2 linked regions of the Macaca fascicularis genome follow. The protein of the gene in region 1 binds, or shares a complex with, the protein of each later gene. Links are inferred from orthologs where the notes say so. Each region holds a gene or a part of one and is shown in the gene's direction. Other genes may lie near its edges.

Region 1 (3,810 bases):
AACATCAGAAGATTTGCAGACAAATGATTTGAGTAAAATCTGAGCAAGTTAGAAAATGTTTATTTCTATCTTTTTAGTTTATTCAGAAGAGGTTTTGTTTTATTTTGTTTTGTTTGAGACAAGGTCTTACTCTGTTGCCCAGGTTGGAGTGCACTGATGTGATCTCAGCTCACTGCAACCTCTGCCTTCTGGGTTCAAGCGATTCTCCTGTCTCAGCCTCCCCTAGTGGCTGGGATTACAGGCACCTCCCACTGCGCCTGGCTAAGTTATCTGTAGATGACATTTCACCTGAAGAAGTTGGTGGTGACCCTTATCCATAACCAAATGTAGGATTTTTAGATTTGGGAAAAGCAAGTATGATGACTTACAAAGCTCTGCCTTAAAGGGTAATACATTGGTTTAATCAGGTTTACTCCACAAAGAGGAATTCAGGTAGCTTAGTTGTATATCTTCTTTGAATCTAATGACAGTCTTTTGAATTGAGGAGTTAGTCACATTTTTTTTCCAGCCAGAATTCCCAGTTGGTCTTTCTTCTTAATTCTCCAGTGTTCACTAGATTTGAAATTCTGCCCTGCTTGCCCATGGTGCTTTGTCTTATGGTAGTCTCATTCTCTAAAACCATTTATCTTGACCATCAGTGTGACTTGTCTTTCCAGATCTCTGCCTTTGTCTGATCTCTGAAACACCAAAGCTCTTCCTTTCCTTTCAAACTTTCCTTGTGACCACAGTCACAAACGTTGCTGTGCTCTGAGATGGTGGTTGGAAACCAGTCCAAGCTGCATTTGGCACATTATACACCAGTGAAGACAGGTTGCCAGGATGAAGCCATAGGTTGTCTCACAGTTACAGATGAACAACTCGCTGCCCCTAGGTTCCCCTTCTACTGATGTAACTAAGGTCTCTAACCGAGAACTCCCTAGGCAATCTGCTATAGCACCATTACTGATGGTTGATGGACATGCCAAGGTATTGACCTCTTCAGCCAGTAGTGGCTGGTTAGAGCTTGGCAAAGGAGCAGCCTCCTCAGTTTATCTCAGTGTGCCATACAAGTAATATTTTCTCTGGATGTTACAGTGTGAAAAGGGGTGGGAGGTAGTGCCGTGTTGAGCCATGTTAGAGCCCCAGGCAAAAGAAAACAATGTGCATTCCTATATATTTTTTCTTCTTTAATGGCTAATTTTTTTCCAGACTATTAAAGTAGTTGGAAAAATAGTGAAAAAAAAAATGAGAAGTGTGCATATTAAAACTTACTTTAAGTACTGCATGCATAAGACAGTTTCCACAAACAAAGTACTGTCCAGCCCGGCATATCAGTGGTGGCCAGCAGTTGAGAAACTCTGATCTAACCAATGAAAATTTGATGTCTTATTTTTGTCCTGACATAATGAATAGAGAGTGAACCACGAGACGCTGGAACTGACCAACGTAGCTCTGGCATTATTCGCCTGCATACAATAAAGCAAATCATAGATCAAGTAAGTTATTAAAATTTGGCCTATTTCATTATGTTATTGTGGTTTTGAGTGGGATGGGATTTGGTTAATTTGAAAGTAGAAGGTAGTTTTTCTAAGACTATTACTGACATACTATAAGAAAATTAAGCCCTTACTGAAAAGCATTATAATAATTACTTTCTTTTTTTTTTTTTTTTTTGAGACGGAGTCTCGCTCTGTCGCCCAGGCTGGAGTGCAGTGGCCGGATCTCAGCTCACTGCAAGCTCCGCCTCCCGGGTTCACACCATTCTCCTGCCTCAGTCTCCCGAGTAGCTGGGACTACAGGCGCCCACCACCTCGCCCGGCTAGTTTTTTGTATTTTTTAGTAGAGGTGGGGTTTCACCGTGTTAGCCAGGATGGTCTTGATCTCCTGACCTCGTGATCCGCCCGTCTCGGCCTCCCAAAGTGCTGGGATTACAGGCTTGAGCCACCGCGCCCGGCCATAATAATTACTTTCAAGGGAATAGTTACTGTAGGCATCAGAAGATGATTTTTCATTACCAGAAAACAAGTGTATGATGTTTAGATGTAATTAACAGACTGCTTATATATTACATCAGTACAATTCAAGTTGTAGTTTGATATTTACATTCGTAAGGAATATCAGGAACATTAAATTCTTAAACTTATTTTTTTCTAACTGCACACGGATAATACTGTCAGATGGCGGTGTTAGGGCTAAGTCTTAAAAGTGAACTTCATAGAAAGGTTTTTAGAAATTTGGCTAGAAATGGAATTGAATTAACTTAAAATTAGTTTTTTAATATGTGCTCCTGAGACATTAGAATACAATTAAAGATCCGTTACCACTGAAATTTTGTTTGTTTTTGTTTTTGAGGTAGGGTCTTGCTCTGTCACCCAGGCTGGACTGCAGTGGCGTGATCTCGGCTCACTGTAGCCTCCACCTCTCAGGTTCAAGCGATTCTTGTGCCTCAGCCTCTGAAGTAGCTGGGATTACAGGCGTGCACCACCGTGCTTTGCTAGTTTTTGTATTTTTAGTAGAAACAGGGTTTCTCCATACTGCCCAGGCTGGTCTCGAACTCCTGGCCTCAAGTGATTCACCCACCTCGACCTCCCGAAGCGCTAGGATTATAGGCATAGCGTGAGCCACCGCACCCAACTGAATGTGATGATTCTTAATGAATGATGTCTTGTGTCTTTGTATATACTTTGCTTTCTTTTTCTAGGACAAACATGCTTTATTAGATGTAACACCAAATGCAGTTGATCGTCTTAACTATGCCCAGTGGTATCCAATTGTTGTATTTCTTAATCCTGATTCTAAGCAAGGAGTAAAAACAATGAGAATGAGGTTATGTCCAGAATCTCGGAAAAGTGCCAGGAAGTTATATGAGCGATCTCATAAACTTCGTAAAAATAATCACCATCTTTTTACAAGTGAGTATGTTAATAAAGGCCTTCTTTCAGCTTACAATGCCTGGGCAACATTAAGTAGGCCAAAATGTTACAATGTTCAAATACTAAAACTTATACAATCTTTTCTTGGAACGTTTCCTGTTGTGTTAACAGCTGCTGTTTGGTTAAAAGAAAATATACAGTAGCAAAATAGAAATTTCAGATGTTTGCATCCTCAGATACCATCTTTCAGTAATGACGATTTAGCTGTAAGCAGGGTTGAATTCTTCTGACTTTTGGCAGTGCTCTAACCATAAAACTACATCGTTAATTTATTTTCAGCTACAATTAACTTAAATTCAATGAATGATGGTTGGTATGGTGCACTGAAAGAAGCAATTCAACAGCAGCAAAACCAGCTGGTGTGGGTTTCTGAGGGAAAGGTAAGACATTTCCTGTTACGTTTTTGACTTGTTCAGTAAACTATGTAACTAATCAGAGATGCTTTTGAGGTACCAGTGCTTTCTAATTAGATCAACATTTTGGAGAAATTTAGGGAAAGTTAGCTTTTAGGTTTTTATAATTTGTGTGTAGGGGTTATGAAAGTTGTTTCTGATGGTAAGAGAATTCTTAAATTTTCTCACCTGTTGAATTACCACTACAGTAGGATTGTCTCCTAAAGAATCTCAAATTATAATGAAGAGCAGGTTGAGTTCTGATGCTGCCCCTGTCTGGCTATGAATGACGACTTTGAGCCTGGCTTCAGTTTCCTCCTCTGAAAATGAGGGGATTTGGAGGCCTAGATGAGCATCTCTCAAAGTGCTGTCCTCAGCATTCTCAATTCAGGACTTGCTCTGAGAGAGAAGGCACTGTGAAGGCAAGCAGCAGGTGGGAAATAAACCCTAGACCCCTTCAGGAGTATCCTGGTACCCACTGGCATTGAAAGGCTCTGAGACATCTT
Region 2 (4,301 bases), on another chromosome or scaffold:
TGTCTGTAATCCCAGCTCTTTGGGAGGCCAAGGCGGGGAGATCACTTGAGGTCAGGATTTGAGACCAGCCTGGCCAACATGGTGAAACTCCATTTCTACTAAAAATACAAAAATTAGCCAGGCCTGTATTCCCAGCTACTCCGGAGGCTGAGGTAGAATCTCTTGAACCTGGGAAGTGGACATTACAGTGAGCCGAGATCACCCCACTGCACTCCAGCCTGGGCGACGGAGTGAGACTCTGTCACAAAAACAACAAAAACAACAAAGTGATTTATGCTAGTTTACAGTTGCAGGTTGTGAGAATTTTAATATTTTATTCAACAGGTACAATGATGTTGTTTACTGTGTTATTTTAGTTACATGTTATTTATTATTATTTCCAGGTATTTTCAGGGTTTCCACCCTGGTCATTTTATTTTTTTCACTTAGTTTTTTGAGACAGGGTCTCACTCTGTCGCTCAGGCTAGAGTGCAGTGGCGCGATCTCAGCTTACTGCAGCCTTGCCGGGCTTGAGCGATCCTCCCACCTCATGCTTGGAGTAGCTAGGATCACAGGTGCGTGTCACCACACCCGGCTAATTTTTATATTTTTTGTAGAGATGGGGGTTTTGCCATATTGCCCAGGCTGGTCTGGAACCCCTGGGCTCAAGCAATCCATCTGCCTAGGCCTCCCAAAGTGCTGGAATTACAGGCGTGAGCCACCGCATCCATCCCACACTTGTCATTTTAAATACATCTGTAGAGAGGCAATGTGATAAGACATGGGGACAGACTACAGCAATCACAGGGAGAAGTACTTAAATGCTGCTAGGCCAAGCAGGTCATGAAATGATTTAAGTAGCTGAGTGGGGACATTGCCTACCCGGACAAGGTGACTCAAGAGGAGCTGCCATGTGAAAAGAGCAGCTCAAAGTAAGCACGTTTTGACTTTTTAGGGAGGCCAGAAATCTGGATTTCAATATTTTGGTAATTAATTCATATTTTTGGAAAACACCATACTGGCCACAAAAAACTGGTCAGTGCATTAGATGCCTAGCCTTCAAGTTTTCCACTCTGCGGCTAGCCCTTAGGGCTTGGCTTTGGGTTGGGGAGTTTGACTTGCAGCAAGTAACCTCACTTGTTAGCGCTTAATTTCCTCTGGTCAAAAGGGCAAAATAATAAAAGCCTATCCATCGGCATTCTGATGCTCAGATGAGATAATTCCAGAGGTCGCCCATCTCTTTACTAAGCCTTCCTTTATTAGCCAAAGTCTCACTCTACTTAAAGCATTTGGAGAATTTTCGGTTTCCTACTGGGCATTTTAAAACTGGGGATTCCTATGCATGAAAAATTTTCCCAAGTCCTCTGAATGGGACCCTGCTGGGATGCAAAGAGTTAAGAGGAAATAGCCTATTAGGGTCTTGTTAATCCGAGAAGTTCAGGACCTGAAAAGTATCTAGAGCACTTCTAAGAGCCCCGACTCAAAGACGCTAGGGTAGCTAGATCCACCCAGGGCCCGCCAGATCCTCGAGGAATTGTAGAGCAGAACCTAGAAGGAGACATTAGCATCCCGTGCTACAATGGACCAAGGCCTCGGCGGAGCGCGCAGAAGACAACTCTGGGCCCGCTGAACCAACCCAGGATACCCAGGTAAGGCGAGAACCCACGGCGCCGTTAGCGGCCAGCTCAAACTGAGGCGCGGCTAGCAGGGGACTCTCGCCCGAAAATCAGCTTGGAGGAGAACTGCCCGGAGCGAAGTCTGCGCCCACCCGGGGTCCAAACTCCACGCGGGTGACTCACACGCGCGCCGCGCCTCCCCCGCGTCCCGGACTATCCGAGAGCCCGGCGAGGACTCGACCGCGGAAAGTTGGCGCTCCCGTCGCTTCCCGCGCGTTCCGGGGCGCCCCCTCCCACTCGAGCGCCACGTGCCGCGCGCCCCCCGCTCCCGGGCCGCGGCGGGATGCCCCCGCCCCCACCGCAGCGCGCAGTGCGCAGGCGCCTTCCCGCGGGTCCCGGCGGCGGGAGCGGGAGCGGGAGGCGGCGGCGGCGGCGGCGGGAGCGGCTTCTGCCTCGGCTGGAGACTGAGGCGAAGGCGGCAGCGGCGGAGGAGGTGGAGGAGAGGCGAGGGTGAAGGCGAAGGCGATGGCGACGCTGGGCACATGAGGCCGCGGCCGGCGGGACGGGCCGAGGCCCGGCGGAGGAGGCGGCTCCGGGGGAACCCGCCGCCGGGTGAGGGGCGGCCGCAGGGCCGGCTGAGGAGAAGCGGGCCAGGGGCGGGGTCCCAGGGGGAGGCGGGAGAACTCGTGGGGAGCCCGAAGATGGGCCGAGGAGCACCTCCGGAGGTCCAGGGAAGAGCGCGGCCGGAGCGGAGGGAGGAGGGGGGCGCCGCCGAGGGGTTCCCGCCGAGTCCGGAGGGGCGTCGCCGGCCCGCGTCCTGCCACTGCCCCCGGCGCACCCTCCCTCTTTGTCCCCAAGCGCGCGGCTCCCAAATCCGGAGGGAAACGGCTCGGGGGTGTCTTGGGCCGCGGAGTTGTCGGGGGACTGTCGGGGAGCCCGGGCAGAGGCGGCGCGCACTCGGCGGCACCCCGGCGGTGCCGACAACTACCCGGGCGGTTAGGGGCGCAGGGCGGAGCCGGGCCGCCCCTCGCCACCCGGGCGCTTCGCGGGCTGCTCTTTGTCTCCCCGACTTCGGTCCCTGAGTCTCCGGCCGCTTTCCGCATCTTCCCGCTAGAACTCCTGCCTCTCGGGGGTTAGAGGAGGGTTAGTTCGAGGGCTGGAAGCGGGAAAGCGGGGCGGAAGGACTGGGCTCATCGCCTCCTGATTAACTCGTTTTCTTTACTTAAAATGACTTTTCCCCCACTTTGTCAAACTTTAGAGAACGTGTGTGTATGTGTGTGTGTGTGTGTGTGTGTGTGTGTGTGTGTGTGTGTGTGTGTGTATCCTTAAGTCTCTAGCTTCAAAATTAAGAGTAGGCGCTACCGCTGTGATTGTGGGCAGTTGTGTGGTTGTCGACTGCGTTTGGAGCTCTGAGTTGAAAAGATTTACGTGAATGTATGGTTGAGATTTTTTTTCTTTTTTTGCGATTGTCTGATTGGGAGTACTTTTCCCTTGCGAAATGGGCGAATTTGGTTTTTCTTTTTGTTCATTGAGAACTGGTAGTAATACGGATTTCATTGTGCTCATGCTTAATTTTGTTAACATCAAGACGATGTGAAATCGAGTAAGTTTGAATAAGTTCTGGCTGAGGGTATGCCTGATAAGTCTAAATTTGTTGTATGTTTGTGTCGTGTACACGTTCAAGTGAGTATATGAAAGCGCTATAAAAAATCAAACTATATAAATGAAAGGGATTTTAATTTCCTAATAAGCAGGAAACAGCATATCTCCAGTACATTAATATCTGTAGAAAAATGCGTTAATAATGTCATTTAGGAGTAAAATATTTCTCTCCCTAGGGAGGGTTTAGGTATTATTCAGAGTAAAAGAGTAAAAAAATTTCAACCTCAGAGGGTATGGAAAAAAAACAGAAAAATACCCTTACTTCCAGAACTCCTGATTAAAATACTGTGAGTTGTGGGTTAAGTTTACTGATCTTTTTAAAAACTTAGCATAGAGTTGTATCACTGCAGTTGCTTTGGATGTCTTAAGTACTGTGTAATGGCAGAATTAAAGAAACACGAACTCTTCTGGGTAGAAGGTAAAAAGCTCCGATAAACAGATCTTAGTTTTAAGTTTTCCCCAGATTTTTGTGCCCTGAGTGCTGTAGGCAAAGGGCGTATTGAAGAGATACATAGAAGTTATATGCAAGGTCTGTTAATATTTGTCCTGATTTGTAATGGCTTAATATTATTTACTGCTTCAACTGTTGTGCAATTTTCCAAAGCATTTCAAACATCCTTTTCAAAAGTTAGCACTTTTAACTTTTGAGGTTGTGTGACTTAAGAATTGTTTTCTACCAGGTAGCCACCACAGTTCTCTTAAAAAAGAGCAAAGGACCTGGTAATTTTCTCTCTAATCAATTCATGAAGGTGAAACTGAGTTTTAGCTTTTAATTCAAAGGACTTAAGTTAACACATCTCCAACATAACAATCTTACTTATAAGCTATTATCCTTTGTCAATTAAATGTTATTCTTTTATTTGTATAAGTCAGCCAAAGGGAAGGAATGCAGGGTTCTGTTTCTGATTAGTCCACTTCCCCCCAGGTCCAGGCTTGCCTATCAATCAGTTCAGTAACGAGGATCTTAGAATACAGGATATATAATTTAAATCCAGAGCATCATTATCTTAACAAATGAGTAGTGGTTGTTCCATGCCTAATTCA

Evidence for each region.
Region 2: the proteins of TJP1 (region 1) and GJC1 are in contact, whole or in part, in a crystal structure (PDB 3SHW), measured with the Homo sapiens proteins. The link is inferred for Macaca fascicularis from reciprocal best matches to the Homo sapiens genes TJP1 and GJC1. Residues at the interface, in NP_003248.3 of Homo sapiens: Lys429, Ser432, Val433, Gly434, Leu435, Arg436, Leu437, Gly449, Val450, Leu451, Val484, Leu487, Leu488, Leu549, Asn551, Gly552, Lys553; in NP_001073852.1 of Homo sapiens: Lys391, Thr392, Ser393, Val394, Trp395, Ile396.

What each region holds. Positions count from the first base shown.
Region 1 is NC_088381.1:7,734,055-7,737,864, forward strand, and holds part of TJP1 (tight junction protein 1), read left to right. Parts: intron 1-1,392; coding exon 1,393-1,475; intron 1,476-2,680; coding exon 2,681-2,891; intron 2,892-3,191; coding exon 3,192-3,292; intron 3,293-3,810. UniProt on the Homo sapiens protein: TJP1, TJP2, and TJP3 are closely related scaffolding proteins that link tight junction (TJ) transmembrane proteins such as claudins, junctional adhesion molecules, and occludin to the actin cytoskeleton.
Region 2 is NC_088390.1:65,888,164-65,892,464, reverse strand, and holds the start of GJC1 (gap junction gamma-1 protein), read left to right. Parts: upstream 1-1,436; 5' UTR 1,437-1,628; intron 1,629-1,995; exon of another isoform or gene 1,996-2,207; intron 2,208-4,301. UniProt on the Homo sapiens protein: One gap junction consists of a cluster of closely packed pairs of transmembrane channels, the connexons, through which materials of low MW diffuse from one cell to a neighboring cell.